Sus scrofa: one gene and its partners. The protein of the gene in region 4 interacts with the protein of the main gene of each other region in a pairwise test. Links are inferred from orthologs where the notes say so. Each region holds a gene or a part of one and is shown on either strand. Other genes may lie near its edges.

Region 1 (5,146 bases), on a different chromosome or scaffold from region 4:
TGTAGCCTCCGGCCTATGCCAGAGCCACAGCAACGCAGGATCCAAACCGCGTCTGCAACCTACACCACAGCTCACAGCAACACCGGATCCTCAACCCACTGAGCAAGGCCAGGGATCGAACCCGCAACCTCATGGTTCCTAGTCGGATTTGTTGACCACTGAGCCAGGACGGGAACTCCATCAGCACCTTCGTTGTATGAGATCCATACTGTAAAATGACTTGCCCCTGCTGGTCAGAGACAAAGGCAATTCCCATCCCAAGGTCTCCTGCCTCTCAGTGCCGAGTGTGTCCCCCAAATCATGCTGCCTTCCCAATGCCTTTTTGGGACCCCAGTACCTCTCCTCCGGTTCCAGGAAGTGAGATGGACCAGGAAGAACTTCCTGACTAGCAGGTGGTGACACAGAAAATAGTTTGCCTTTGAAATAGCACCTGACATTTGTTTGCATAGGGCTTGATGCTTTTCAAAGTGCCACCTTCCCTTTTACTGCTGGATCCTCACAAATAAGCAAAGTATGGGTGAGGTAAACAAACAACCTCTCTTCCCTGTATGATGGATGGTGGGGTGAAGATACCAAGCCCAGGGACCAAAGTGACCGGGGAGCTCTTGGGGACGCAAGGACTCTTTGAATTCAGAATTTGGGTCCTGTGACCCATCTTCCACTTGGGATACAGAGATGTGCGCGTGCAGGAGAGATGGCTTAGATGGGCAAAGATGCCAAAAATCATAGGTGAGCGGGGGCAGAGCTCAGATCTCACCGTCAGGAGGTCCCTTGCCGGCCTCTGGTTCTTCTCCTCCAATTCTTCGATCAGGGTGTTAAACCGGCAGATTTCCCCAGCGACTAGGACATCAAACTCGTCCCGGTGCTTCAGGATGTCCCCATCCAGCCTCTCCAACTGGGCTAAGAGGACGCTCTGCTGTTCCTCCAGGAACTGGCTCAGATGTGCAAACTCAGAAATCACCTTTTGTTTCTTAGTGGCCACCTGAGTCTGAGGGGACAGGAGGAGAGGCTAGAAAGTCATTCCTCCTCTTCCTCTACTTGCTTTTCTTTCTTTTTCCTTAATTCACACCCATCCCCCCTGGCCCAGATCCACATCCCCCAAGGTTTTGTGGTAAAGTCAGAACCCCCCTCTCTGGGTCCCCAGAGAGATTTGGAACACCGGCATGGTTTCCCTTCCACCTTCCATGCCATTTCCAGGAGCTAAACTGCCCAGCATCACCTTGGCACCTTCTGCCAGCTGCTAAAAGGGCGAGGGTCACAGGAGGCATGGAGGAGGCGGGGAGGACACTGGCCTCTTGCCTCTTACAAGATGCATACTGTGTGCTCAGCACTAGACTGCATTACAATCCTGATAGCCATCCAGCAGGTAGTGACCATCTTTAATCGCCACAGAAAAATGAACAGGATAGAGGATTGCTTGAGGTCTAGAGCTAGTTAGTTTCCCAGCCAGGATTTGAACTCAGAATGCCTTCAAAGCCCTCTATGCTATGTTGCCTTGGTTTCAGAGTGACCCCAGACCCTGAGGAAGAGAAGAGGACCAGGGAGGGGGTGATGACCTACCAGGAGGACTTGTATCCTTTGGTTTTCTCTTAACTGGATTCTTTGAATCTCTTCTCCCTCTTTTCTTAGACACTCAAGACACTTCTGTATTTGTTCCTGGAGAGAAGGAGCATAAACTACTTAAGATGAGGGAGAGGGGGATACATTGGGATTTGGGGATTAGTAGACACCAACCACTATATATAAAACAGATAAACAACAACAGCCTATGGTATAGCACAGGGAGCTAGATTCAGTATCTGGTAATAAGCTATAATGGAAAAGAATCTGAAAAAGGTTTTACACATATGTGTATTTCTCTATGTGTGTGTGTGTAACTGAATCACTTTGCTGTACACTGGAAAACAACACAACTTTGTAAATCAACTATACTTCAATTTAATTGGTTTTTTTTTTTTTTTTTTTGGTCTTTTCAGGGCCGCATCCGTGACACATGGAGGTTCCCAGGCTAGGGGTCAAATTGAAGCTGTAGCTGCTGGCCTACACCACAGCCACAGCAATGCCAGATCCGAACCGTGTCCGTGAACTATACCACAGTTCATGGCAGCGTTGGATCCATAACCCACTGAGCAAGGCGAGGGATTGAGCCTGTGTCCTCATGGATCCTAGTCAGATTCGTTTCCGCTGAGCACAACAGGAACTCCTAATTTTATTTTAATTTTTAAGATAGAAACAATGACTTAAGATGTATCATCTCTGCCTCCAGGAATGGAATGACCCAAGAGATTAAGTCACTCCCTTAGCTGACAATGCCTGGGTCATCATTGTCCTTGACAGCTTACTCTCTTTGAGTCTTTGCTTGCTTCGTCTGCCAAGAATTTTCCCCTTTATCTTGTGCCATCAGAGGCTATGACTCATATTCCCACTTGAGCCTTAATCTCTTCGAGATAAACACCCTAATTTCTTTTGCCTTTAGAAAGTGATATCCAGTAGTTCCCTCGTGGCTCAGTGGTTAACGAATCCCGACTAGGAACCATGAGGTTGCTTGGATCCTGAGTTGCTGTGGCTCTGGTGTAGGCCGGCAGCTATAGCTCCGATTAGACCCCTAGACTGGGAACCTCCATATGACACAGGAAGTGGCCCTAGACAAGGCAAAAAAAAAAAAAAAAAGAGCTAGGAACCATGAGGTTGCAGGTTCGGTCCCTGCCCTTGCTCAGTGGGTTAACGATCCGGCGTTGCCGTGAGCTGTGGTGTAGGTTGCAGACGCGGCTCGGATCCCGTTGCTGTGGCTCTGGCGTAGGCCGGTGGCTATAGCTCCGATTCAACCCCTAGCCTGGGAACCTCCATATGCCTCGGGAGCGGCCCAAGAAATAGCAACAACAACAACAACAACAATAACAACAACAACAACAACAACAACAAGTCAAAAAAAAAAAAAAAAAGTGGTATCTGGGATCTGCCCTGAGCTTGCTAGGCCCGTCTTTGAAACTATCCCAACTTTCCCACATGTCCCAAAAGGAACACATCCAAACCGCCTCTTCTGTGAGTAGAATCAACTTTCTAGGTATGATTCTTTTTTTTTTTTGTCTTTGCTATTTCTTTGGGCCGCTCCTGCGGCATATGGAGGTTCCCAGGCTAGGGGTCGAATCGGAGCTGTAGCCACCGGCCTACGCCAGAGCCACAGCAACGAGGGATCCGAGCCGCGTCTGCAAACCTACACCACAGCTCACAGCAACGCCAGATCGTTAACCCACTGAGCAAGGGCAGGGATTGAACCCGCAACCTCATGGTTCCTAGTCGGATTCGTTAACCACTGCGCCACGACGGGAACTCCCTCTAGGTATGATTCTGAAGGGAAGAGAATCTTGAATAGTGCAAAAATAATCAATGAATTTTTAAAAAATTGTTCACTTTAGAATAGAGTTAGGAACAGGTGTACACACATAAATGTCCATATAAGTACGTTTCAAAATATATTCAGAATTCTCACCATTAAATGCTAATTAAGTAATTGACACACAGACACCTGCTCATGGAGTCCCCATCATGGCTCAGTGGAAACAAATCTAACCAGCATCTATGAGGATGCAGGTTCAATCCCTGGCCTCACTCAGTGGGTTAAGGATCCAGCATTGCCTTGAGCTGTGGTGTAGTTCGCAGATGTGGCTCAGATCTGGTGTTGTTGTGGCTGTGGTGTAGGCCAGCGGCTACAGCTCCGATTCAACCCCTAGCTTGGGAACCTCCATATGCCTCAGGCACAGCCCTAAAAAAAAAAAGACAAAAGAGAAAAAAAAAAAAAAAAAAGACAGACACCTGCTTGTACTAAACACAATGCATAAACAACTAAAACCAGCATATACTCATTTCACGACAGAGAAAGTTACACACCACATATGCTTACTCAACCTGCATATATGTAAACCCCAATTGACTCACAAAATGCGAGCACTGTTACACATGCACACTCGAAGAGTCAGATCTCCCCCAAACACTCCACACACAGTGATAAACGTGCACCCATGAATACCTGCACACCGTGTTTGTGCATCATACTTGACTAATCCAAGGCCCAGACGCACACACTCATGTTTGGGTGACTCATTCATCCAACGTGTATTTACTGAGCTACTCTGATGTCCTGGCCATAAATAAACAACCTAGGACGTCCTGCAAACACAAGCTCTCCCACCCAAGCTCTATCGCCTGGGTGATGATAGTAGATTGCATTTCTTTTCAGAGTGGCTCAAATAATCCACACCTCTGCTCTGATGCTCTTAGTCCGGTCCGATGGCAGTCCCCTCCCCCACCCCCGGAACCCCTCCGTGTTCCCTCTCCTACCCGGTAGGGCCCCGCTGCATCCTCCAGGAAGCGCACGGTGTGGTGGCGGTGCTCCCAGGCCTCCCGGCACACCACGCACAACTGCATTTCATCGTCCTCGCAGAAATAGTAGACCTTCTCCCTGTGCTCCAGACAGACGTCCTCCTCCTCCTCCAAGCCCAGCTGGGACCCCAGCTTGAGCCGCTCGATGTTCTCCACCACGCTGGCCAGCTGCCAGTTGGGCCGGAAGCTCCCTGGGCGGAAAGGCTCCTTGCAGAGCGGGCAGGTGGGGAGCTCCCCCGGATCCAGGCAGGGGATCTCAAGGTAGCGGGTGAGACAGACGCAGCAGAAGTTGTGGCCACAGTCGATGGTGACTGGCTCCCTCAGTGTCCCTTGACAGATGGGGCAGTTGACCTCATCAGCCAGGCTGCTCACGGAGGCAGCTGAGGCCATGGTGTTCCTGGGCTTGGGGCCTCTTCAAGGTCACCCTCTCTGCTTGGCTCGAGGCGTGCGGGGGACTGGGAGATCAATGAGGACAGGCACCACACACTCACACACCCACACACGCACTCGGCCAGACACAGAGACCTCTTACATACCCACTGACACCCTCGTGGTCACACACACACACGTGTGCACAAAGGCAAGACAGCCACTTGCATCTCCGGCAGCCAGGGTTCTGCTGTCCCCCTCCCACAGGAACAGACACACACCTTCCTCCAGCAGAGACAGAGAAATAGCAGAGGAGGCAGGAGAAGGGGTCACAGCATCCCAGAGATGACCTCAGTTTCTCTCCGGACCAGCCCACGACCTGCGAGTTGCTGTTCTT
Region 2 (5,913 bases), on a different chromosome or scaffold from region 4:
CATGTCCGTGAATACTGGGAAAGCGCCCCAAGTCCTGCCTGGGGCCAGAGGGTGAATAATGAAGATGAAAGATAGCTGTCTTTTTTTTTTATCTGTTTCCTTTCTCTAGAACATGAATCCCACGAGGACAGAAATGCCTCGTCTGTTTTGTTTACCGCTACATCCCCAGTCCCTAGGAAAGAACATGGGCATAGCGGATGCTCAGTAAACATCTATTGAAAGGCCAAAGGACATAGAGAGAATGGATGAACTAGTACCTGCCATCTCTTTATATCTTGACAAGAGAAGGAAACTGCAGCCCGGAGAGGGTAAATCAATTTGCTCAAAGTTGTCCAGCCAGTAAGAAAGGCATCTTTCCATCACAGCCTTGCTGTGTGACCTTAGTCCAATCAGTTCACCTCGCTGAGCCTCGCTTTACCAATGTGAGGCATTCTTATAAAGGGTAGTCATGAAACAGATGACAATTTCCCTTCAAAGCCTCCACACCAAGACCTGTAAGCCCTGGGCCAAGCGTACTTGTTCACAGTCACAGAAAAAAAGAGCCATCCGCCTCACTTTAAAGAAACTGAGGTTGGAGTTCCCTGGTGGCTCAGCAGACTAAGGACCTGGCATTATTGCTGCTGTGGCGCAGATTCAATCCCTGACCCTGGAACTTCTGCATGCCATGGCCAAAACCAAACCAAACCAAACCAAAACGGAGGCTGCAAGATGGACGCTGTCTGCCCAAGACAGTTAGGGTGATTAGGGGGCTGAGCAGTGACACAATTTTTTTTTTTTTTAGGGCCGCACTCGTGGCATATGGAGGTTCCCAGGCTAGGGGTCGAATCGGAGCTACAGCCTCTGGCCTACATCACAGCCACAGCAATACGGGATCCGAGCCGTATCTGCACCACAGCTCACAGCCAGATCCTTAACCCACTGAGCAAGGCCAGGGACTGAACCCGCAACCTCATGGTTCCTAGTCAGGTTCATTTCCTCTGCACCATGACGGGAACTCCGCCCAGTTACACTATTTAATACTCTCAACACCCTGTAATGGCAAGGACAGTGGTGGTCATTGTCATTTTAGAAATGTAGAAACTGAGGCATAAAGAGGTGGCGGCACAGGCCTGGGGACACAGAGCAGCAATGGGACAGAGCCCGGGAAGCGGGTTGACAACTCACGGGAGCCGGCGTTGTTGACCACACAGTCCAGGCGGCCGAAGCGGCGGATGGTCTCAGAAAGAGGGTCTGAGGAGAAAGCTGTCTTGTGAGTGAACAGCATTGGCGCCCCTGCTGGGCTCCCCCAAGTGAGACGTGGCAGAAGCGGAGTCACCGCGGAGGGGACAGGACATTGTGGGGGCCGACCCCAAATCGCCAGGCATGGCAGGAGATGAGGAGACTGGACGCCAGGGTGCCAGAGACCAGAGGGCTGGTGACACACACCCTGAGCTCACTACTCCAGAGACCCAGGAGGGTGGGGGATGGGGGAGCAGATGAAGGGAAGGGGAGAAACCCTGGGAGAAGGAGAACTCTTACTGGATCCAGATCATGTGACAGGAGGGACCAGGGGCCTTGAAGGCCTGGGAGATAGAGGAGAATCTTCTCGGCAGACACAGGACGTGGCCAGCCGAGTTAGGAAAGCTTTGCGATGAAACTGAGCTGAGACTCTGGGGGCAGGTGTCATTTAGCCAGGAGATGGGGAAGGGTAGAGGGAATAGCATGTGCAAAGCCCGGGGTGAAGGGAGAGAGAGAACGATTGGAGATTGAGGGGGACGGGGAGGGACAGAAACTACGCGCTCACCTTCACATCATCCTCTTGAGTCACGTCACAGAGGACAAAGACAGACCCAGGCAGCTCCTGCTCCAGGGTCCGACCAGTGGACTCTGCAGGAAGAGAAGGGCTGGGGGCTGGAGCCTGGGTCTCAGAGAGGAGGGGCTGGGGGCCCAGGATCCTGGGTCTGAGGGAGGAGGGCTGGGGCTGGATCCTGGGTCTGAGGGAGGAGGGTGCTGGGGCCTGTATTCTTCTTGAATCTAAGGGAGGAGGCAGTGGGCTGAGGACTGGGGGACCCTCACTCACCGTCTTTGTCACAGATCACCACCTGGGCGCCACTTTCCACTGCGAATAGACAGGGAATAGGTTAGCCCTGCAGAGACCTTGGTGAAGATCTCTGCTGCCCTCTGTGGCCACCCGGAACAGGGCCGTTCCCCCCCCACCACCGCCCCAGCTCTGTTCCCCTCGTGACCCCAAAGTCTCATGATGATCCCGTAGGGCAAAAGGCAGAAGCCTAGCCTTCTCCTTGGCTATTCCAGGTGACTTCTGGGGCTCCTGAGTCTCCATCCCTGGGTTCTAGAGTAAACCCTAAACCTCCAAAAGACATATTCCTTCAACCACCACCCCCGGCCCCCCATTCTGTAGCAATAGCTGAGACCCAGAGAAAGGGAGTCAATGGCATTTGAAAATCCGCCGCAATCTCAGGCCCCAGGCCACCTCTGCCTTCCCTTCGTTAACTTTGCAAATTGGATTTTACGAGACAAGAATCTAGATTCCAGTACAGAAGATACTTCGTCCCACACCCATTAGCCCCCGGGTCCCTCCGCTCCCAGACTCCACTGTTCAGAGCCGACCAGACCCCACTCACCGAAGGCTCGGACGATCCCAGCTCCGATGCCGCGCCCGCCCCCCGTCACGATTACCACCTTCCCGGCATAGCGCGTTCCCGTTGCCATCCCGCGTCAGAAGGTCTCCTTCGGCCACTCACTCACACTCACTCGAGGCTTCTATCCCCCTCTGAAGTCCGGTGAGGTCTTGGGGTCGAACCATAAATAGGGGCTGGATCCTGAAGCCCGGCCCCGGGGGCGTTGCCAGGAAAGCCAGAAGCCTGGAACTTGGCCCCAGCCCCCTCCTCCCTCAGACCCAGGAGGCCGGTCCCCCAACCCTCAAACTCGGGATTCCTGGAGTCCGGCCCCCTCTGCCGGACCTTGGACTCCAAAGTCCAGGTCCCGGGTCCTCTCTTCCTTCAGACCCAGGAATCCAGGTCGCCGGCCCCCTCCTCCCTCAGACTCAGTAATCCAGACCTCGAGCTCCCCCCGTTCCTCTGACACACAAAGCTGAGTCCGCTGTCCCCTCCTCCCGCGGGACCCAGGAGTTCACCACTCCAGCTCTACCTCTTCGAGACACCGGTGTCACAACTCCAAACAGACAGAAAGTTATCGACTAAGAGTTCAATGTTTTAATCCAAATTTGGACAAGTATTGGGAAAATCAAACTTTGGCCAAAGTAGCCACTCCTCGGCCACCGGGAGGGGACCAGATCACGCCCTCAGGTGAGGGAAGAGGCTCCATCTGTCCCGGAAGTACCTCCGGGACACGCCCTCCAGCTCTGATTGGCTGCCCTGCTTGGGCGGGTCAGAAGCTGGACTGTAGCAGCGTGACTCTCAGAGGCCACGCCTCCTCGTCTGGGGTTAGCGCGGGAGGGGCGGTCCCGGAATCCCAGGTCGGCTCCCAAGAGGCCGGGCCTGCGTCGCGCCCAGTCCCTCGGTGGGAGAACCCCGTGGAGTGGGAACTGGCCACTGGAGGAGATCTTGGGGGCGAGGACACGCAGGGCGTGGGATCTGACGGAGGTGGCGACGCAGGGGGAAGAGGGTCTCCTCGAGAGTCCAAACTGCCACCTGGAGAGGACGGACGGAGAACGAGAATGGCAAACTTTGGGACCCAGAAGTCCCGACACCCAGGACTTTCCTCTCAAACCTAGGAGTCCAGGCTCCCCGTCCTCTCCTCCCCAGACACGGCAGTCCTGGGATCCAGTCCCCTCCTACTGGGGTCTGGAACCCCCAAGCCCTGTCCAGCTCTTTCTTTACCAAGGCAGAGGGTTTCTGGCGGTCGTCGGACCCCCCTCCCCACCAGGACCTAGGATTCCGGGCCTCCAGACTCCCTCTTCCCTAACACCCAGGAGCCCAAGGTCCCCAGCCCATTCTCACCTGTCATCATTCGGTGCCACTGTGACGCCTCAGCAGCCAAGGCTTGAGAGAGGCTGAGAACTCGCTCCCGGTGACCCTCAGATGTTGGTAAATAAGGGGTCGTGTTCCTCGGACTAGAAAAAAGAAGATGCAGGGGTGGCCTTGAATAATTTGCCTGTAAGGTGAGGACCACGGTGCAGAGCGTGTCCTTCTGGGAGTTGTAGTCCCTAGCATATGGCTCTAAAGGATTTTGAACAGGGCGAGACCCTCTTTTTAAGTCTGCGTGCATTATGGGATCTGTAGTCCAATTGCCCGAAAACTTCCCGACAGAGGAGCAGAGTTTGACAGCAACGGTGGAACCGCTGTGAACTAGGGCTTTCTCATTCCCCAGGAATTCAAGCGTCTCTGAAATGTTCTGCCATCCATACCCTGGTACTCAAGAGTACTCAGGAGACATTAATACTTAATGCTACTCCTCACCCTTTTGTTGACTTTCTTGCTTCTAGTTTGGATCTCCAATTCCTTACCTGCTCCAGGACCCAGAGCTTCTGAGCCATTTCTGGCTCCTGAGTGTCCCAGGGCAGGCTGCAAAGGAATTGGAGCATTAGAATTCCTCCCCCAGGAAGCCCTCACGTCCTCATTTTGAGGATGAAGTGAAGGAGCTTAGCGAAGAGAGAAAATTGCCCCCCCCCAAACATGGCAAATGTCTTTTTTTTTTTTTTTTTGTCTTTTTTGTCTTTTGTCTTTTTGTTGTTGTTGTTGTTGTTGTTGCTATTTCTTGGGCCGCTCCCGCGGCATATGGAGGTTCCCAGGCTAGGGGTTGAATCAGAGCTGTAGCCACCGGCCTACGCCAGAGCCACAGCCACGCGGGATCCGAGCCGCGTCTGCAACCTACACCACAGCTCACGGCAACGCCGGATCGTTAACCCACTGAGCAAGGGCAGGGACCGAACCCACAACCTCATGGTTCCTAGTCGGATTCGTTAACCACTGCGCCACGATGGGAACTCCGCAAATGTCATTTTTATGTAAGATCCTTTGTCTGGAAAATGTCTATGACTGTACCTTCGACTTCTAACAGACAGGACAATTCTCAGCTTTTTTTTTTTTTTTTTTAATGGCCACACCCACAGCATATGGAAGTTCTCAGGCTAGGGATCAAATGGGAGCTGCAGCTGCCAGTCTATGCCACAGCCACAGCAATGCCAGATCTAAACCGAATCTGCAACCCACACTGCAGCTTGTGGCCAGGCCAGATTCCCCAATCCACTGAACGAGGCCAGGGCTCAAATCACATCCTCACGGACACTATGTCAGGTTCTTAACCCGCTGAGCCACGACAGGAACTCATCTCAGAGCTTTCTGAGAGTCTATCTCCCAGGTAATAATCCTGCTGGGCTCCAAAAAAATTCCCCTTTTTTTCTTGTTAACTTGACTTTATTAGGATTTTCATGGAGAGACTCACAGATGGCTGCCCTCCTTGTTTGTCTGTAACAAGGCCAGAAACAGACCTTCCAAATTCACATTCCTTTTGTCGTAAATGATTAGCTGAACTCTCTGTCCCCCCAAACTAGCTAGACATAGAGATAAATGCTTGTTCAGCTGACTGAGATGCGCTTTAAACAATCCCCACCATAAAAATGATAAAATCACCCCACCTATGACTTGTCTAATTTCTCCCGAGAAAAGTTTATGATGAAACCATCTTGCCCAGACACCCTGATCTTCAGACCTGGAGGGTTCTCCCCCTGGTAACCGTGTGAATAAAATTGATTTCCTGGAGTTCCCACTGTGGCTCAACAGGTTAATGACCCAGTTTGTCTTCGTGGAGGCGCCGGTTTGATCCCCAGCCCAGGGCAGTGGGTTAAGGATGTGGCATTGCTGCAGCTGTGGTGTAGGTCACAGCTCTGGCTCAGATTTGACCCATGGACCAGAGACTACCAAAAAAGAAAGAAAAAAAAATCAATTTCCTGGA
Region 3 (5,769 bases), about 14 Mb from region 4:
TGAGCCTCATCTGCGCCCTATACCACAGCTCATGGCAACGCCGGATCCTTAACCCACTGAATGAGGCCAGGGATCGAACCTGCATCCTCATGGATGCTAGTCAGATTCGTTAACCACTGAGCCATGGAGGCAACTCCTGAATATCCTTTTATCACCAAGAAAAAGCAGGTCTTGGCCTTGGAGCCTCTGAGAGGCACCCCTAGCCAGTGAGAAAGCAATCACCCGGATCTCATTTTTGTTACGCCATAGTTTACATTTACCTACCACTTTTCCAGCTAGGGTAGGATACACTATATATATATATTTTTTTTTATTTCAAAATAAATTTCCTTAGTTTGAAAAAAAAAGGGGTTTTTTTTGGTTAAGCCCATAGCATATAGAAGTTAACGGGCCAGGGATTGAACCTGAACCCTAGTATCCATTAAGATGAGAGTTCGATCCCTGGCCTTGCTCAGTGGGTTAAGGATCCGGCATTGCCATGAGCTGTGGTGTACTTTGCAGATGAGGCTTGGATCTGGCATTGCTGTGGCGTAGGCTGGCAGCTGCACTCTGATTCGACCCCTAGCCTGGAACTTCCATATGTCACAGGTGGGGCCATTAAAGAAAAGAAAAAGAAAAGAAAGGAAAACAAATGCTTCTAGAAGAAAAGTCTCATGAGCTCAACAGGACTCAGAGAACACTAACCATTCAGGGAAACAATGGGTAAGACAATACTGAACAGGGAGGAGTTCCCATTGGGGCGCAGTGGTTAAAAAATCTGACTAGGAACCATGAGGTTGCAGGTTCGATCCCTGGCCTTACTCAGTGGGTTAAGGATCTGGCATTGCAGTGAGCTGTGGTGTAGGTCACAGACACGGCTTGGATCTTAAGTTGCTGTGGCTGTGACGTAGGCCAGTGGCTACAGCTCCCATTAGACCCCTAGCCTGGGAACCTCCACATGCCACGGGAGTGGCCCTAGAAAAGGCAAAAAGACAAAAAAAAAAAAAAAGAGATAATACTGAACCCTAGAACAGCTGAGGGTAGAGGAAGTTGATAATGAAGGTAGTGCTAGCGTGTGTGGGGAGGAAGCACATCCCAGGCATCCAGGGAGGGGCAGGTGCTTCTGAAATCAGAGCAGGCAGGCAACAGAGCTGGGATGTGAACCAGGGAAGTGGGAAGGGGCCACTGGCTTGTCTAATTCTGTTTTCTTTCTGCTTGTCCAATTCTGTATGCCCATTCTGCAGCTGGAAAAATGGAGGCCCAGCCATCTGTCCAGGGTCCCCCAGCACCCAAGAGAAGACCCATCCCTAGCCCCGTTCCTCCCACCATGTACCCCCACAGGCCCACCTGTGTCAGATGCTGTTCAGAAGCAAAGCCAAGGCCATAGACAGTGTTGGCGCGACTGTCTGCCCACTGCCCGAACTTCTGGGAGGTTTTGGTAAAGGTCATGTTGGGGGTGACAGTGCTATTGATGATGGCCTGGGGGGGAGGGTAAGCAAAGTTCATGGTTGATGGGAACTGGTAATAATGAACATGAACCCCTTCCCCGGGGGGTATCACTTTGTATTAGCACCTCAGAGGTCTTTGGCCATTTCAAGAGGAAGATTGAGGCCCAGAAAGACTCAGGGCACCCCCCCACCACCCCGTGCTCCCAAAGCACACAGCAAAGCAGCAACTGAACCCACCCCTGTCACTGGGATCCTTGGCACCTGGCACCCCACCCAGGCCCCACCAGGACCTTGGCACCCCCAAGGCTGATGATTCGGTAGACATTGCGGGTGGCATCGTAGAAGTAGGAGACAGTGAGTGCATGTTTGCCCGCAGGGATCCAGTTCCGCTTAGTGGCCGGGTCGATCTGGAACACATGCGCCCGAGTGCTGAAGATGGGCTGCTCCCTGGTGGGGAGAGGGTGCTCAGTGGAGGCCAGGCAATGCCCCCCATCTCAGAAGACTAAGGGTCAAGCTGGTAGAGGCAGAGGCTCACCTGGCTGTGGACATTGGTCAGGCTGGTCTGTGGGCTCCAAGGGGCAGCCAGAAGAATGGTAGGAGCTGCTGGTTTGGCCTTTGCGGGGAGAAGGGGGGCCTGTGAGTGTCCCCCAGGCCAGGCTGAGGGAGGCCAAGCATGTCCAACATCAGGACCCACCACCAGGTTCACTATTCACAGAGCTTCAAGCTCAAAGTTCTCAGCAAAAAGACCCCAACTCTCCCCATCTAGAAGAAGCCCTTGCAACACCCTGGGCAGGAGACTACCTCTGATAGGAGCCAAGTGGCTCCTACCAGCATAAACCTCTCATCTTCTTGGTTATTAGACCCCCAGTGAAGTCTTCTTAATCTCTGGGTTGGGCTGAGGAGGCCAAGGCCAACTCCTGTGTAGTACTTCCTGACACATTCATCCATCACTCCCAAAGCAGAGCCTCCATCAAAAAGTGGGGCATTGGCAGGTGCCTACTGGTAAACCAGTCCCCTTCTGGACCCACAAAGAGACCCCTCAGCTTCCACCTTAGGGCAGAGGCACACCTCAGAGTCAAAGCCCCCAGGGAGCCCTCAGCCTAGTTAAAAAAACAAGATGTGGCTAAACAGGTTCAAGGTGGTGGCCTCCAATCACCACTCAGTCCGCATCACCTCTCACCACTTAATCTGAACACCCTGGGGTTGGGGGGGGAGTCCTAGGGGAGGACCTGGGGGAAGGGGGAGGCAAACTAAGGGAAGAGAGGCCCCGACCCAGCAGCCTCCATGGTCAGAGGGGGAATGCCCCCCTCCTCTGTCCTGGGCAGCTGCTGTCCCGGTCACAGGGTCTGAAACCGGAGCCCCTGGGTGGGGGAGGGGCAGCGACTTTGGCCAGGGTTGGGGCTAGGTCCCGGGTTGAGCCAGGGTTCCGGGCGCAGGGGGTCCCAGAAACTCGGGCCTCCCTGCCCGGATGCTCCTGCAGCGATTCTAGGCGTTGGGGAAAGTTACTCACCAACTAGTCATGCGCCTCGGACGCCGCTGCTGCCGGCAGCGGGGCTCCCAAAGGGGGGCCTGACCCCGCCCGGTGTACTGGATCCACAATCGCGTGAGGGGGCGAAGCCCCACCCCAGGAACCCCAGCCCAGGGGATCTGAGGAGATACTCGCTCAGAATCGAATCCCCACCCGTCAGAAGCGGGGTGCCCCATGTGCGCCCCAAATGCAGGAAGTGCCATCCCGGACCTTGGTATTTCCAAGATCCCTGCTACGCCTCCCCCCCTCCCCCTGACTCCGGATCCAGAACTTCGGGGACGTGTTATCTACCTCCTGCAACTACAGGTCCAGAACTTAGGGGATCCTCCCCGCTGTCCCTGGCTCTTGAACTTCGGGGACCCCTGCCACCCTTCCATCCCCAGGTCTGGAATTTCGGCGTCCCCTCGCGCCTCCCCTCCACCTTAGGTCCGGAATTTGGGGAACCCGGCGTACTGTGCCCTCCTCGACCCCGACTCCGGAACTTCGGGGTTCCTGTGCCCTCTCAAGCCCTGGAACTTCGGGGCTCCCTGATCCGCCCCCAGCCTCCGTATTCGGAACTTCGAGGACCCCCGAGCCCTGTCCCCAGTCCCAGAACTTCGCGCCCCCAACCCCCTGCACCCAGTGCAGGCTCAGCTATCCAGGCTCACCCTGACGGCTCGGCGCCCCGCAAATGTCCGGGCGCGAGACGGGTGCGGCCCCACGGCGCCGACTCCCCGAAGCCGGGCGCCCCGCTCGCTCGCTGGCTCCGGGGCCCGCGCCCTCCTCGCCGCCCGCCGCACCGCCCGCGCCTTTGTCTGCGCCGCCGCCGCCGCCCGCGCCGCCTCCGGTCCCATCGCGGCCGGTCCCGACGCGGCCGCCGCCCGCCCCGCCTCCCCGGGCGGCCGAGGCCGTCCCGCAGCGCCCCCTGCCGGCCCTCCGCGGCGAGGGGGAGAGGGAGGGGTGGGAGCAGGGAGGAAGTGGGGAGGATTGTGGACGGGATATTAAGATGGGTACAGAAGGGGACAGGGGATGCAGTGGAGACAGAGACCCAGACCCAGAGACAGAGAGATGGAGGAGGGAGTCAGAGACAGGCCTAGGTGGACAGAATAGAATGTGGCCTCATCCTTTGTTCAAGAGTGAGCCGGACCCTCCCCATCACTGCTGCTTTTGCCTGTGATGGGGGGTCAAGTCCCTCTTCACCTGATGGGAATCCAGAGGCAGCGCACATCTGACGCCTTGTGGGTCCAGGCGTCTGCACACGGTAGGAGCTCAGTGCGTGTTTCTAGAAAACCAAAGAGACTTGGGCGGAGAGGGGCCTAGAAGAAGGTGAGAGAGAGGCAAACAGTAGGCACTTAAGGGGCTTGATACAGGATGCCCTGCTCAGAATCCCTGCCTGCTTTCCCATCCCACCCTGATCCCCCCAAACAACTGTAACAATGCTAGTGAGGGGAGTTCCTGTTGTGGCTCACCCCAAACAAACCCAACTAGTACCCAGGAGGATGTGGGTTCCATCCCTGGCCTCGCTCAGTGGGTAAAAAGATCTGGTGTTTCTGTGAGCTGTGGTGTAAGTCTCAGATGGGCCTAGATCTCAGGTTGCTGTGGCTGTGGTGAAGGCCTGCAGCTGCAGCTCTGATTCAACCCCGAGCCTGGGAACCTCCATGTGCTGTGGGTCAGGTGTGGCCCTAAAAAAAAAAAAAGAAGAAGAAAAGAAAGAAAAAGAAATGCTAGTGAGGTTGGGTTAGGATTATTGTTGCTGTGTTATAGGGTCCAAAGACTGAGGTGGAAGGAACATCATTGTCCAGGTCCCACCAAATGAGAAAATTGCCTGGAGGCCCACAGGCCTGCATTTGCCACCTCTGGTCAGAGGGAAGCCACCCCTTCATACGCTTGCTGGGAGAGGGTCCTTCTGGAACTGAGTTCAGTCTCCCCTGATCCGAGCCTGCCTGTGGGGCCCCCTTGTCAATCCTATTATCTGCCCTTTCCCTGGAGACTCCTCCCTCCAAAGTCACACAGTGCCACCGAGTTCTTGGACAGAGCACTGAGGCTCCTCAGAACCTGCACTTCCCTGAAGCTTGGAGACTCACTTGTGAGCTTTCTCAAACCTCAGAAGTGTTTGCCATTTTTTTTTCCCCTGTCTTTTTAGGGCTGAACCTAAGGAATATGAAAGTTCCCAGGCTAGGGGTCCAATCAGAACCATAGTCAACACCAGATCAGAGCCACATCTGTGATCTATGTCGCAGCTTGTGGCAACGAGGGATCCTTAACCCACTGAGCAATGCCTGGGATTGAACCCACATCCTCATGGATACTAGTTGGGTTCTTAACCTGCTGAGCCACAACAGAAACTCCTCCTTTTCTTGTTCTAGTATATTTGTCTGCCCCCATCCCCACCCCAACAAGAATTGCACAGCTGAGCTGGTAGCTCCCTTCAAATTACCTTTAGGTGAATTCCAGTTTGTATAATTTCTAGAAACTTATTCCCAGGCCAAGATCTGAGGTTTCCTCCTTCCAGGCCAGAAGGTGGGCAAACCCAAGCTGTTTCTTCCACATGGAATGCCCTTCTTGAAGGTACATATTTTGTTTTGCCCTTTCAGGCTCAGCTCCACTGCCCCTTTGCCTCCTTTCCAGGAGGCTCCTCTGACTATCCTGGGCTTGGAAGAGATCTTGCTCGCCTCTGTTCCACCACCCCAGCCTTTTCTGAGGGATCCCTGATTTATTTATTGGTTTGACAGTAGCCAGGGCAGGCCCATCCTGGAGCCCCAGCCTCGAGCCCCAGCCTTACTCAGCGTGAGAGGGACTGCTCATCCCCGCTAGAGAAAGGGAGCCGCAGACTCA
Region 4 (5,697 bases):
CGTAGGTCGCAGATGCAGCTCAAATCTGGCATTACCATGGCTGTGTTGCAGGCTGGCGGTTTCAGCTTGATTCAACCCCTAGCCTGGGAACCTCCATATGCCATGGATTCGGCCCTAAAAAGTCAATAAAAACAATAAACAAATAAATAAAAGTGGAAACTAAAGTCTGTGTGATTCCAAAATGTCAGTTCTTCATTTACATAATGCCTCTCAAATAGAAATAATCTCTATCTGGTCCCATACAGAAGTATACCTGTTACTCTCCACTTTCTTCTGTGTATTAGACATAGAACTGATTCTAATTTCCTAGAAGATGAGATCTATATCTCATTCACTTTTTACACCCTGCAGCATCCAGTACTGAGCTTTGCAAAAAATAAACATCAAATAAATACTGGTGTATTAGAGAAAGCAAAGGTGGTTCATCTGATCCTCGCAAACCCAACAAAAGTGTCAAGCTCTTCTCAGACATAATATCAAACACTATACACTGAGTTAACAAGTATCACATCATTGAATGACTTCTCAAAGGCATTAATATTAGTATGGCTAATTCTATTAGTTACTACACAGAGGATCAAGAAATGGGATACTGAGTAACTGAGCCCAACTTCACTAAGGTATACACAATCTTCTAAACATTCTGGCAGAATAGAATACCTGTAAAACATCTGGATCTTTTCTAGAATATAATCAATTATGAATCAAGAGATGTTTCCTTTGTTTTTCATGATCATACTCACCATAACAGTCTAGCATCGGCAGTAAGTCCCGCAATTGAGATACCGATATGGTTATCAACATGGAGGATTTTTTTCTGATGAGCTGCAAGTTCTGATTGTGCCCTCTAAATAGACATTATTTAAGACAGAAAAACAAGTTTATAATTTATTATCTACATAGTGAGACTTACATTTGATAGTTGGGTTTTTTGTTGTTTTTTGTTTTGCTTTTTAGGGCCACACCTGCAGCATATAGAAGTTCCATGCTAGGGGCTGAATTGGAGCTGCAGCTGCTGGCCTACACCACAGCCACAGCATCAAAGGATCCTAGTTGTGTCTGTGACCTACACCTCAGCTCACAGCAATGCCGGATCCTTGACCCACTAAGTGAGGCTAGGGATCGAACCCACATCCTCATAGATACTAGTTGGATTTGTTACCGCTGAGCCACAATGGGAACTCCCAGTAGCTCTTTTTTAAAAGAGGAAGATATATTTATTGCTTTACTTACCTTCAATGCAACCAGCACTGCATGGGTTTTTGATTTCAGACCAACTGTTGCTGAACCTTGTTTGACGGCTTCCATTGCATATTCAATTTGATGAATCCTGCCCTAAAAAGGAAAAAAACCCAATACACCTTAGAGTCATTGTACAAGACCCTTTCATGGATTTAAAATTAACTTAGAGGGGACGGGGGAGGGAGTAGGATGGACTGGGAGTGTGGGGTTAGTAGATGCAAACTGTTACATTTAGAATGGATAAGCAATGACATCCTACTATATAGCACAGGAAACTATATCCAACCTCTTGGGACAGAACACAATGGAAGTAATACAAGAAAAAGAATGTGTATATATATATATGGATGATTGGGTCACTTTGCTGTACTGCAGAAATTAGTACAACGTTGTAAAACAACTATATTTTTAAACAATTATATTTTTTAAAAATGACATAAATATCCCCATATGATCAAATGCAGAAAAAAAATTAACTCAGAGATCCCAAATTTCAGGTAAGAATAGCTAAACCTCAAACGATGTTCTTTAAAACTAGGAAACTTACAGGAATGTCTAAAATGATTATATTTTCTCACAGCATACTATCCAAAACATTTTTAAGTTGCAGCCACCAAAAGCAACTTTGTAGAAACAGTATAAAACATTTTACCTGAGGGCTCCAAACAGTGACATCATTGTCATACTGGTTGCGAAACTGAAAGTAAATGAAAAAAAATCTGTTAATACAAGAACATTACAAAACCCAAATCTTAACAAGCTCTATCACTCAAAAATGTTTTCTGGAGTTCCCATCGTGGCTCATTGGTAACAAACCCAACGAGTATCCATCAGGACAAGGGTTTGATTCCTGGCCTTGCTCAATGGATTAAGGATCTGGCATTGACATGAGCTGTGGCATAGGTCAGATTCCAGCTGCTGCTCTGACTGGACCCCTATGGAACTTCCATATGCCTTGGGTGCAGCCCTAAAAAGCAAAAAAAAAGAAAATAATAATAATAATAATTTTCTAGTCTATTTCCATCCAACATTAATGAAAGGTTGTTACTGCAACCTCATTGGAAGATTTCTACTGTACTTAGTTGCAAGCCAATTTTACATTTACAAGGAGCTTGTGAGGGAGGGGAGAGCAGAGCCAGATGGGACCTATCTTCCCAAATTCCAATTCTACCACTGTCCATTGCACTGCCTTTGAGTTCAGTCAATTACTAAAGTTCCTATGTGTCCACTCTCCTTTCTATCTTTGGCTTATTCTCTTCCCTGATACCAAGACCTAATACGATCAAAAGCATTCCTTTTCCTTGGAGTGCCTGTCGTGGCTCAGTTGTTAACGAATCCAACTAGGAACCATGAGGTTGCGGGTTCCATTCCTGGCCTTGCTCAGTGGGATAAGGATCTGGCGCCTCTGTGAGTTGTGGTGTAGGTCGCAGACGAGGCTCGGATCCTGCGTTGCTGTGGCTCTAGCGTAGACCGGGGCTACAGCTCCGATTAGATTAGACCCCTGGCCTGGGAACCTCCACATGCCGCGGATTCCGCCCTAGAAAATGCAAAAAGACAAAAAAAAAAAAAAAAAAAAAAAGCATTCCTTTTCCTTAAATACCTCAAATGTCTACCTCTTGAAGCCTTCTCCATCTTTCCTCCCCAAATCCCAACACATACTCCTACCATTCCTTTATCTACACCTTTTTTTTCGACCTTATATTACGATTAGGGACGTGTCTGATTTATCTTTGAACCTTCACTGTAGTTAAAACAGTGCATTTAAAACATTGTTATAGAATGAGTACACACAAGAATGTCCCCAGAAAGTCAGAAGTGGACACAAATAGCCACAGAGACGGACCCATTACAGCTTTAAAGACAGCTTAAAATGAGTCTGCCAGCACAGTACTTGGGAGCCCAATCATTAGGGTGAGAAGGCTGACTGCTGGAATGGTAGACATAGGACTGGAAGCTCTGAGCCCTATATTGTAACCCTTATTCTATCACTTCTATCAGCTTCAGTTTACTCTTTCATAAAAATACTTAACTGGATAAGTGACTGAAAAAAGGCCTTTTCTGATTGAGCTCTAAAAGAGAATTGAGCTCTCAACTCTGCTATTGGCTATACAGGGAGATTCCAAAAGTCAAATCCCAATTTTTCCTTTCTCTCACACAGAGCACTAGGGGCCCCTCTGGACCGCTCGGAATCTACTCGACTGAAGGAAACTGAGGGGCGAACTCGGCTAGCAGACCGAGGAGGTATTGTTCAAGGCCGGATGGAAAGCGAAACAAACCCAGGGGAAAGGCCGCACCGACTACCGACTTCCCCTGTGCCGGCCAGGCCAGAGATGCTGAATCACTCCAGAACCCCCCATCGGCTGAGGTTCCCATGTCCCATAGCCCCGGCCCGCTCTAAGAGTGACAGAGAGATCACTCGCCAACCCCCAGCCAGCGGGCCTGTGCCCCAACCCTGTTTGAGCTCGGAATCCAACGCACCATGGTTCCGGCGAGAGCCTAGTCACGGCCTCCGGTAAACCTGCAGATCAAGGAGCGCTGCCGAAACTACCGCTCGGCGATCTGCAGAGAAGTCTGCGGGACTATGCGTCGGCGCAGGGTAGAGCAGTCTATTCTAGAGATAGCGATAGGCTTCCGGCGCTTCCCCGCCCTCAAAGCTCTCCGCCCGCTCGGGAGTGGGCGGGGCCTGGGAAATCTGAGAAACTCACATTGGCGGGAAAATTTGGGCCAGGAACGCCCGCGGGAGCTAATAGTCGCTGGGTGGCCACTATCAAGTCGCCTTTCTTGGATCCTCAGAGAAGTTACCTGTGAGCTGTAGATTCCTGTCAGTTTCTCACCGGCCCGGCCGGATGCACCCGAGATTCCTGGTGTACTGCTCAGCCTCTCATTCAGCGTCCACAGAGATTTGTGGTGTTGGGTAGCGAGAAGAACAGGACTGCAAAAAAAGACCACAAATAATGGTCCATTTCTTCGTGTCAACGGTACTCTTCCTGGAGTATCTTGTTTCTGGACATGATTTTCTTTCTACTTTGGAATCCTTTTCCTTACTCCTTATTTTCCAGGCGTTGTTGTCACTGATCACTATCATTATTATCAGACTTTAAACTTTTTGAGGGCATTAATGTCTTTGCCGTCAAAACCAAGCACGATGCCTGAAAGAATAGGCAACTGAGGGACATCTTCTTCCGAAATAGGTATTTTCCTTTTTGCGAACATCTTTTAGTAAATTCTCAGAGAAAATAGTTTAGGATAGCTCTACAAACAGCTGCCAACCTAAAATTTACTGACTGCCAATGATGAGTTCTTTTCTTTACGAAGAAGAAAGGATGAGTACCTAGACTCAGGTAAGAGTTGAAAGGGGTCTTTAAGGATCTAAGCTTTGTCAATGAAGAGACTCAGCTCCCTTAAATGATTTGTTCAAGTTAGAGCAAGTTGGTATCGCACTTTAAAAACCTTGTCACATGTATTTTGGACACTTTTTTATATTAAAATTTTTCTAGGTTAAACAAGATTCCCGATATTCTGCATTGTGAACATATGATATTTTATTTACCGAAACCCCCATTGTTTAATATTTAAGTTTAATATTTAAGCCCTCTCCTGGAGCTCCCTGTCTGGCTCAGGGGGTTAAGGATCCACATTGTCCTCGTGAGGATGCGGGTTAGATCCTTGGCCTTCTCAGTGGGTTAAGGATTTGGCGTTATTGAGAGCTGCGCTATAGTCCCGCAGCTGCAGCTCCGGCTGGACCCCTAGCCTGGGAACTTCCATATGCCACAGGTGCAGCCCTAAAAAAAACCAAAATTATCCCTCTCCCAAGAAATTCATTTATGAGCTGCTTGATATATTTTTTTATGTGTACATCTATACTCCTTTAGAATAAATTCCTGAAAATCAAAGGATTTAGTGAAATGGCTATTTCTAAGAATTTTATTAAAAGTGTTACAAAAACCAAACAAACAAACAAAAAAAGGAGTTCCCTGGTGGCTCAGCAGGTTAGGGACCTAAAGTTTTCTGGTTACTGCTGTGGCACAGGTTCAGTCCCTGGCCCATGAACTTCTGTATGCAGGCACAGCCAAAAAAAAACAAACAAAACCAAAAGTGCTAAATTGCTTTCCGGAAATATTTTACCAAAACATATTCTCAACAGTAGTATATGAGAGAGCTCCCCTTCTTAAATTCACCAATACTGATTGTTGTCATTTTTCAAAATTACTGTTATTTTAGTGGACTAAATTAACTGATTGTTCTCTTCTGTTTTCCCAGCACCCAGCAGGATGCCTAGCATGTATTAAGAGTTTAATATATAGTTAAATGAATGAGTAATGAATATTAGATGAATGACTAAATAAATGATCATTTAAAAATATTACGTAGGGAAATTCCCACTGTGGCACAGTGGGTTAAGGATCCAGCATTGCTGCAGCTGTGATGTAGGTTGCAGCTAGTGCTTGGATTCAG

What was found.
Region 1: the proteins of PSMA1 (region 4) and TRIM10 interact in binary tests that used the Homo sapiens proteins (3 or more experiments, as listed by UniProt). The two-hybrid records come from large-scale screens. The link is inferred for Sus scrofa from reciprocal best matches to the Homo sapiens genes PSMA1 and TRIM10.
Region 2: the proteins of PSMA1 (region 4) and HSD17B14 interact in binary tests that used the Homo sapiens proteins (3 or more experiments, as listed by UniProt). The two-hybrid records come from large-scale screens. The link is inferred for Sus scrofa from reciprocal best matches to the Homo sapiens genes PSMA1 and HSD17B14.
Region 3: the proteins of PSMA1 (region 4) and HOMER3 interact in binary tests that used the Homo sapiens proteins (3 or more experiments, as listed by UniProt). The two-hybrid records come from large-scale screens. The link is inferred for Sus scrofa from reciprocal best matches to the Homo sapiens genes PSMA1 and HOMER3.

Annotation. Positions count from the first base shown.
Region 1 is NC_010449.5:22,723,948-22,729,093, forward strand, and holds part of TRIM10 (tripartite motif-containing protein 10), read right to left. Parts: 5' UTR 4,771-5,146; coding exon 4,339-4,770; intron 1,657-4,338; coding exon 1,561-1,656; intron 989-1,560; coding exon 758-988; intron 1-757. UniProt on the Homo sapiens protein: E3 ligase that plays an essential role in the differentiation and survival of terminal erythroid cells. May directly bind to PTEN and promote its ubiquitination, resulting in its proteasomal degradation and activation of hypertrophic signaling.
Region 2 is NC_010448.4:54,140,824-54,146,736, forward strand, and holds the start of HSD17B14 (17-beta-hydroxysteroid dehydrogenase 14), read right to left. Parts: upstream 3,321-5,913; 5' UTR 3,148-3,320; intron 2,788-3,147; 5' UTR 2,710-2,787; coding exon 2,622-2,709; intron 2,099-2,621; coding exon 2,060-2,098; intron 1,867-2,059; coding exon 1,784-1,866; intron 1,247-1,783; coding exon 1,165-1,246; intron 1-1,164. UniProt on the Homo sapiens protein: Catalyzes the NAD(+)-dependent oxidation of L-fucose, yielding L-fucono-1,5-lactone, which rapidly converts spontaneously to L-fucone-1,4-lactone. Can also act on D-arabinose and L-galactose, with lower catalytic efficiency. Does not use NADPH.
Region 3 is NC_010444.4:58,911,990-58,917,758, reverse strand, and holds the start of HOMER3 (homer protein homolog 3), read right to left. Parts: upstream 3,811-5,769; 5' UTR 3,603-3,810; intron 3,075-3,602; exon of another isoform or gene 2,938-3,074; intron 2,085-2,937; exon of another isoform or gene 2,041-2,084; 5' UTR 1,977-2,040; coding exon 1,963-1,976; intron 1,875-1,962; coding exon 1,718-1,874; exon of another isoform or gene 1,665-1,717; intron 1,459-1,664; coding exon 1,327-1,458; intron 1-1,326. UniProt on the Homo sapiens protein: Postsynaptic density scaffolding protein. Binds and cross-links cytoplasmic regions of GRM1, GRM5, ITPR1, DNM3, RYR1, RYR2, SHANK1 and SHANK3.
Region 4 is NC_010444.4:44,738,262-44,743,958, reverse strand, and holds the start of PSMA1 (proteasome subunit alpha type-1), read right to left. Parts: upstream 3,858-5,697; 5' UTR 3,724-3,857; coding exon 3,721-3,723; intron 1,940-3,720; coding exon 1,895-1,939; intron 1,336-1,894; coding exon 1,234-1,335; intron 848-1,233; coding exon 744-847; intron 1-743. UniProt on the Homo sapiens protein: Component of the 20S core proteasome complex involved in the proteolytic degradation of most intracellular proteins. This complex plays numerous essential roles within the cell by associating with different regulatory particles.